Macaca mulatta: one gene and its partner. The protein of the gene in region 1 purifies or fractionates together with the protein of each later gene. This does not show direct contact. Links are inferred from orthologs where the notes say so. Each region holds a gene or a part of one and is shown on either strand. Other genes may lie near its edges.

Region 1 (4,360 bases):
GGTGGGACGATTACGAGGTCAGGAGTTCGAGATCAGCCTAGCTAACATAGTGAAACCCTGTCTTTACCAAAAATACAAAAATTAGCTGGATGCAGTGGCATGTACCTGTAATCCCAGCTACACGGGAGGCTGAAGCAGGAGAATTGCTTGAACCCGGGAGGCGGAAGTTGCAGTGAGCCGAGATCGCATCACTGCACTCCAACGTGGCGACAGAGCAAAACTCCGTCTCAAAAAAAAAAAAGAAAAAGAAAAGAAAATAGACAAAAATCCCTGCCTTCCTGGGGCTTGCCTTCTAGTAGGTAGACAGACAATAAACAAGATAAAAAGTAAAATATATATGAAATAAAGCAGGAAAGGAGGACATGAAGTATGTGTGGAAAAGTAACATTTTAGATGATAGCCAGAGAAGGTATTTTAGATACAGTAGCCAGAGAAGGAAGTGGGAGACTGAGCCATGAAGATATATGGGAGAAATGCACCCCAGGAGGCCTGTGTAACCGGGACAGGAATTAAGGAGTTGGAGACTGAGTGATACATCAGGATCAGGGAGGTTAAGTGAAGTCAGATTGTACAGGGCCTTGTTGGTCAAAGTAAGGACTTTGGCTTTTACTAACAGTGAGATGGGAAGCTGTTGGAGGATTTGAGAACCTAAGTGTCATGATCTGACTTGTCATAAGAGGATCCCTGGGACTGCTGTGCTGTGAATACCAATGAGGTGGCTACTACAATAACCTAGGCAAGAGATGATGGCTCCCAAAGACACGGGAAGGAGCAGCTCTGGGGTTGGAAAATAAAATTTGGGGTCTGACAGCTACATTGGAGAAGCCTATTAGCCATTCGAGTGAACTGTGGAAGAGGCAACTGGATGTGTACAGGTCCGGAGTCTCAGGGAAAATCAGAGCTGGGAGCCGGCACTTGGAACTCAACAAGTAGAATCTATTATTAGTAATACGGAACCTCAGCTGTACTACTACTTACTAGCAGCGAACTGTTGAGTTAACCATTTCTAGGTTCTGGGCCTCAGTTTCCCTGTAAATGAAATGGCGAAAACACTCCCACATAACGGAACCTTGAGAACGAAATGAAAAGTATCAAGGGCTGACCGTGAGGAAGGTGAGAGTCCTGAGCCAAAACCGTACTAGCCTCTCCGGGAGGGGGTGTCACTGCTGCGGAATCAGCGACAGGTTTCCGAATCCACACCACACGCTGGGGGTACCAGAGGTAGCAAAGCAAAATAAGCGCCAGGTACCGCACGGCAGCGCCCAAACCTCGCGAGATTTGTTGGCCGGACCAAGTACCACTCCCCCAATCTCGCGATATTTAGGCGCCTGAGCGGCTCTCCACCGGCGAGGGTTTGCGGGGAAGATGGCGTATCCCGCGCCGGCCACAGTGGAGGCCGCAGACGGCGGAGGGGCCGGGCGTTACAACAGCTCGGAGGAGCTAGAGGGCCAGGAGCCGGATGGGGTGCGCTTTGACCGCGAGAGGGCGCGCCGCCTGTGGGAAGCCGTGTCCGGTGCCCAGCCGGTGGGTAGGGAGGAAGGTGAGTCGGGGGCTTTGGAGGCAGGAAGCCCCTCACCCGCCTGCGCGGCTCGCGGGGAGCTGCGGAAGCGCCTGCGGTCACACCCCCCTGGCCCGCCTCCTTGCGTGCTGCGCTCCGGGACCCCCAGACTTGTGCTCCCCATTCAGGCGCGGGCACCCCAAGAATCGGGCCCCCAGCGCGCTGAGGGTGATCACGGCCGCTCACGCTCAGGCCCAGAGCTTTTCCCCTCCTCCTTCATCAGTCACTACAGCGCAGTTTTTCCCGAATTCGAAGATCGTCATCCCTATGCTTGTCGGAGACCCACAGTCTTTGCCATCCCCGTAATTCAGGCCGAGTGCCCCTCGCCACTCCTTGACTCCTCATCGTCCCAATCTCCAGATTTCCTCGTAGAGCCTCTTGCCTCCCTTCTGTCAGGCCTCACACTTCCGAGGGCTCTGGAAGGCCTTCTCCTTACCCCCGGGTTCCTCCTGGTCTTGGTGACTGAGCCGTGGCTTACCCGTTTTTAGCTCTCTGGCTTCTACTTGCTGGGTTCCTTATTCTAAGGTGGGGACAAGGAGACTGAGAAACTGGTCTGGGTTCGCTTTGACTCCAGCTTCTTTGTGTTCTACACTTGACCCAAAGTTGCTGAGAACAGTATAAGCAAAGCCACGTCAGGGGTCACTTCTGGGCCGAAGTGTGCCAGCTTGCTGCGCACTTGACCTGAGACTGGGTAAGATGGGATGAAAGAAAGAGAAGGATGGGAAAGAGCTGTTCTGACCTTCTTGTGTGACTCCCTTCACCGTCCTTTACAGAGCCAGCTGCTTAATGCTAACCCAAGTGTCCAAGAACTCTATCTGGGCTTCTCTGCTAACCCTGTCAGGTATCTGGAGGGAAATCAGATTTCTCCAGTGATTTGTTTGCTTGCTGAGCAGACTTGTCATGGAAAGTTTAATATGCTATTTGTCAACTGACTGCCCTGGATAAAATTGAAATTTGGACCATATCTAAGGAACATATGTTTAAATTAGGGGTGATACACAGACCTATACCCTGGTATATAATTCTCCAATTTAAAAACAAGTCTAGCCTGTCTCCTAAGTTTATATATATATATATTAAAAAGAAAGGCAGGGCCCCAGAAATGGTATGTGTGTGTATGTGTATATGTGTGTGTATATTTACATATATGTGTATATATAAATATATACACACATACCATTTCTGGGACCCTCTCTCCTTTTTCTTTTTCCTTTTTTTTTTTTTGAGAGAGTCTCCCTCTGTCACCCAGGTTGGAGTGCAGTGGCACAATCCCACCGCAACCTCTGCCTCCCAGGTTCAAGCAGTTCTATGCTGCCCCAGCCCCCGGAGTAGCTGGGATTACAGGTGACCACCATCATGCTCAGCTGATTTTTGTATTTTTAGTAGAGATGGGGTTTGACCATGTTGGCCAGGCTGTTCTCGAACTCCTGACCTCAAGTGATCTGCCTTCCTTGACCTCCCAAAGTGCTGGGATCACAGGCATGAGCCACCACACCCGGCTCTCCTACTTTCAAACTTGTTTGGTAGTTTCCTTGCTCTACCCCAATTTTCCTTTCATTAATTTGACAAACATTCACAGATGTCTGCTCTCGACCCAGAATTGGTTGAGCTTCAGAGCTGGAGTATCAGAGAAAGATATTGTCCTTTCCCTGGAAAGGCTTGCAGTCTAGTCCAGGAAGCAGACACTAAAACAGTTCCAGTGTAATGTAAAGGATGCAGTGCTGAGGAATGTTTTAAGAGTTGGAGGTGCACAAAAGGTGACCTTTGCCCTAGATCTTGAAGCAGAAAACCACTGTGCTCTAAAAAGTGAACTGTCTGCTATGTGTATGTGAGTGTACAGTGGCACTGTTACGACCCATTTCATTTCCCTGTTCTCCTCACTTCTCGCACATTTATATGAAATCTAAGTAGACACCTGCAACATTAAGTTCTACTCACTCTTTTTCTTCTCTTAGCACCTTCATTGAGTTACAGTTTATATACCATACAAGTCGCCCATTGTAAGCATATCGCCAATGATTGTTAGCCAATGTACAGTTGTATAGCCATTACCACAGTCCAGTTTTAGAACATTTCCATCACCCCAATTAGTTCCTTTGAGCTTACTTATATTAAATCCCCACTCCCACCTCCTGCCCTAGGCAACCAGTGATCTGTTTTCTGTCTTGGGTAGTCTTTTGAGTTTGGCTTCTCTCGGCATGTTTTTGAAGGTCAGCCAAGTCATGGTGTGTATTAGTACTTCATTTTTATTGCTAAATAGAATTCCATTGAATGAATATAACACATTCTATTAATCTGTTCATTATTTCTAGACATTTGGATTGTTTCCAGTTTGGAGTTTTTGTGAATAGTGCTGCTGCGAACATTCATGCCCAAGTTTTTGTGTGAACATACGTTTCATTTCTTGAGTATATCCCTAAGAATGGAATTGCTGGGTCATATCGTAACTCTAACATTTTGAAGAACTGCCAAACTTTTCCAAAATGGCTTCACCTTTTATATTTCTGCCTTCAATGTATGAGGGTTTTGCTTTTTCTATAACCTTGACAACACTTGTCTTTTTTGATTATAGGCATTCTAGTGGGCATGTAGTGATATCTCATTGTGGTTTCCTAAAGACTGATAATACTGAGCACCTTTTCATGGGCTAACTACCCATTTGTAGATCTTTGGTGAAATATCTATTGATATCATTTGCCTATTTTGTAATTGGGCTGTTTGTCTTCTACTGAGTTGTAAGAGTTGTCTGTGTGTTCTGGGTACAAGTCTTTTATTATAGATACGGTTTCCAAAGATTCCCCC
Region 2 (4,383 bases), on another chromosome or scaffold:
TGAGCTCTGCATAGTATGGTAATTAAAAGGTTGGGTTTTACAAACAGACTCAATATTGACAAGAAAAGGATCGGTGGGTTTTCATTTTCCCATCTCCATCATATTCTCAATATTTCTCAAATAAGAGCAATACTAAGATTAAAAATATATATGTAAATGGGAATAAAAGCCTATGTAGAAAATTTTGCTAGAAAATAAAGGGCTTTTAACACAAATATTACTTCTACACTATTCCCTCCCCTTCACCCCTATCAGCCCTCTTTCTAACACTTTTGAAGCTCCTAATGAATAGTAGCCCCCTGAAGCTGCTAGGTCAAACTGCCTGGACTTGAAGACGGGCCTTTCACTTATTAGTGATTGAGTTACTTAAAATAAGGATGATAAAAACCTGCTTCATGAGGTGTACTCTTCACTTTATAACTTTAACCTGTTGCTATTTGTTCTATTTTAGGGATTTATCATTATTTTTTTGAGGAAATTAAAAGAACAGAGATAAAATCCCTGTCATTTATAAAACGCACAGGATAAAAGCAAAAAACCTTTGCTCTGTCGTTTGGGTTCTTCTGTCCATATGTAACAATCTGTTTCATACATGGATCTCATATATGAAAACCTAAATTTTTGTATAAGATACACGAGAGTGGATTTATCAGACAAACGTGTATTTCACTAATGCAAGGAATTTAACCTATCAAAGACTTTCCCTATTTGCTGCAGAAAATTTTAGAAATGCAAGCAATAAAATCAATAATTTTAAAAAATCTTGTCTTTGGCATGTCAAAGAACTTTTATACTTCTAAAAGTGTAGTTATTTGTAGTCAGTGATGAACCTCTCTACACACCTTAGCCCTATGCAATGTTGGGGGTAGAAAACGAGTAGAGATTTTGAGAAATCTTAGGCTAGTTGAAATACTTCTGAAACGTCAGAATGTTGAATTACCATCCCTCTGACTTAGAAAGAGAAATACCAACACTCGGGAAGATTACCATCATAAACAACTTTGGAAAGTTTAATTTGGTCATTGTTTTTAAAATTAGAAATAATGTAAATAAAGTACTGCAACAAAGCATTCTCACAATAAATAGTAGCTATTCCTGTCACTTCTTACAGCGGAGGCCCAATATACATTGTATTCTCATATTTGTGCTTCCTCCCAACATCTAGCGCATATTTGGCCAACATATAAATTTTTATCGAAAGAATGAATGACATCAATGACAGGCTGGTCGCACTCCGGTGGTCCAGGTTAGCCCGTGAGGCCACGAGGAAACTGCGGATAACACAGTGTCCAATTTGCCTATACCGCCTGCTAAACTACAAGTCCCAGTACGCAAACGCCATGGTTGCAGTGCATACTGGGAGAAAGTCTCCAGCTCTTCATTGGCCACGTAGGAGAACCTCCGGTGTGTGTAAAAGCGCGGGCTTTAACGCACGTACGCACGGAAAACTGCGCAGATCTCCTCGTCTGAGTTCCGCGGAACTCATTTTGAGTGTAGGCATTTTAGCCGGTAGGATTTAAGAACAGTTTCATTTCCGGCGTCACCGGAAGCAGCTTGAAAATGGCGTCTCCCTCTTTAGAGCGGCGAGAAAAAGGGGCTGGAAAAAGTGAATTTCGTAACCAGAAGACAAAGCCGGAGAACCAAGGTGATGTTATGTGGGAACCGAAGGCTGGGGTTTGTGGACGTTGAGTTGCGATGTTTTTTTTTCTCATTGCTTGTGGACTTATAAAACCACCTGGAGCCTGTACTGTGTATTTAAGTACCACAATAATCGCTGATAAGATTATTGGCTGGGCCCACAGGAACGACTGGCCGATATGGTGCCACCCACGTGTTCCTAATTCATTCCTTTTGCTAAAGGGTCCCCAAAGCGAAGCCGTTGCTGAATACGTCTTCTGTAAAAGATTATTAAGAAAATGCCGAGGGCGCCGCGGAACCCTGTAGCCTGCAGGGGACTGAAAGTCATTGACGGAATGAGGAATAGGGTGAGGTGGGAGCAGGTAGTTCTGATATACAGGAGTCGACCCTGATAATGGGGTGAGATATGGGGAAAGGAGCTATCTGACATGTCCTTAGCTCTAGTTTGTCAGTAAAGACAGTTTGAAAGATTTATCAATTCCTGTTTGTCAGATTGCTAAAATACTAGACGACACAGCCCTTGCTCTTTAGGTTGTGCTACCTTTTAATTGTTAACTCCTGCGTTGTGGTCTGGTTTTACCCGTTTTCTTCAGTATGAATGACAGAGAAGTCAGAAATAGCCTGGGGATCTGTTCAACCAGGCTCATAGAAGTGTTAAAAACATTGAACTCTCAATTTAGATGCATTGGGAAAGTTTTCAAGGTTTCTTCGTTGTTGCTCATTAAATGATTATGTAACGTACATAGCAGAGGATACAACTTATATATAGTTTAATAAAACCATGCAAGAAACTAGCATTCAGACTGTTAAGTAAAATAGAGCATTACCATACCCCTCAAACCCTTACGTGCACTTCTCAGATCATATTCTCTTTTCCTGTCACAAGTAACCACTCTGAATTGCGTTGCATTCTGTTCCTCTTCTTGTAGTCACGAAGTGGCTTAATTTTGCCTCTTTTTAAATTTTATATACATGAAAGTGGACCGTATGCATTTTTCTGTGTCTTAGATTTAGCTTTGTTTTTCAAACAGGGTGATACTTGTAGGTGTAGTTTTAGTCTTTTCACTGTTATGTGGTGTTTCCTTGTATGACTATACCCCAGTTTTTTTTTTCATTTTACAATCGGTGGACATTTGGATTGTTCCTATTGCTTGCAATTATAAACAGTACTGCTAAAACATCTTTGTACATGTCTTCTGGTTAACATGTTCAAGGGTTTCTTTAGGTTGTGAACATAGGATTGGAATTACTGAAGTGTAGGGTGTGTGTAAGTAATGCTAACTTTTTTCCAAAGTGCTAGTGTCAGTTTTGTTCCCACTAGCAGTGGACGAAAGTTCTCATTGCCTTACATTCATATGAATACATGATGTTACCTGAATTTTGAATTTCTGTCATTTTGGTAGGTATGAAATGGGATCTGGTTGCAGTTTTAATTTGCATTTTCTGATCACCTATGAGGTTGCGTATCTTTTCACATGTTTTGGGCCTTCCTTAATTGTGAAACTCCTGTGTATTTCTTTTGTCAATTTTTTGTCTGAGATTGTAGTGGGAACTTTGAAAAAATTGATCCGTAGCCTTTGAAGTGTTTAAATTGGATAGGGACTTGGTCAGGGAAGCATTGCAAGTAACCAGTTGCAGTGACTCATGCCTGTAATCCCAGCACTTTGGCAAGCTGAGGAGGGGGGATTGCTTGAGCCCAGGAGATATGCCTGGGCAACATGGCAAAACCCTTTCCCTACCAAAAAAAAAAAAAAAACAAAAAAAACAAAAATTAGCCAGACATTATGGCACATGCCTGTAGTACCAGCTGCTTGCGAGGCTGAGGCAAGAGAATAGATCGCTTGAGTCCAGGAGGTCCAGGCTGCAGTGACCTGGGATGGAGCCACTGCACTCCAGCCTGGGTGACAGAGCGAGGCCCTGTCTTAAAAAAAAAAAATGTATATAATACACAAGTAATCACTTTTGTGGAATTTGTGTTCTTTAAAGGACATTGGAGAATCCTTAGACTAGCCAATTGTCTGTGATTTGAACCAGAAATAGAAATAGAAAAGTGGATGTGAGTATAAGCAGAAAGTTTACCTGAGGTTGATAACATAGGGTAATGCCCTGCTTTTCAAATTTTACTGTGCTTAAGAGTCTCCTGTTGAGCATGGTAAAACACAGACTTCTGTCCCTTGTCGAAGAGATTCTGATTCAGTAGGTCTGGAGTGGGGCCCAATAATTGCATTTCTGACAGACTTAACAGTTTATACTGATACTGAAAGTCTATGGAGCATACCTTTTAGTATAACTGAATTAGAGTATAGCTGTTGAATTTAAGGAGTTCTTAAAATTCAGTACCACGTTTTTTAAATACATGATTCAGAAGATAATTTATGGCCCTTAGGCATTTTCTTGTAGTGAAAGGAGTCCCAGGCTGAGTCAGCTTTGTGTTCCCTTAGGCAAGTCACTTAGCCTTTTTAGACTATCTTCTATAAAATGAGAATAATACAGATTCTACCTTTTATAGTTATGAAACGCATGTGGAAATAAGGCACTCAAAACGCTTAGGAAAATCTAGAATTACTCGAGATTATTAACTGAAAGATAAACTAGAATCCTCTTTCAGAAGTTGTATACAAACACATACACCCAGGTTCCATACACTCCAGGAAAGTCAGAAAGGTTAATTGTATTTAAAATACTAAACAAAATGGCATTGAGATCTTCAGTTTTATGGTAGTGTAATGCAGTACACGTTTCTGG

Evidence for each region.
Region 2: the proteins of ZNF346 (region 1) and KRR1 purify together in Homo sapiens (affinity purification with mass spectrometry; 3 studies listed by BioGRID and IntAct, with this or other methods). This does not show direct contact. The link is inferred for Macaca mulatta from reciprocal best matches to the Homo sapiens genes ZNF346 and KRR1.

The regions. Positions count from the first base shown.
Region 1 is NC_133411.1:185,971,607-185,975,966, forward strand, and holds the start of ZNF346 (zinc finger protein 346), read left to right. Parts: upstream 1-1,322; 5' UTR 1,323-1,365; coding exon 1,366-1,540; intron 1,541-4,360.
Region 2 is NC_133416.1:82,682,506-82,686,888, reverse strand, and holds the start of KRR1 (KRR1 small subunit processome component homolog), read left to right. Parts: upstream 1-1,525; 5' UTR 1,526-1,560; coding exon 1,561-1,645; intron 1,646-4,383. UniProt on the Homo sapiens protein: Part of the small subunit (SSU) processome, first precursor of the small eukaryotic ribosomal subunit.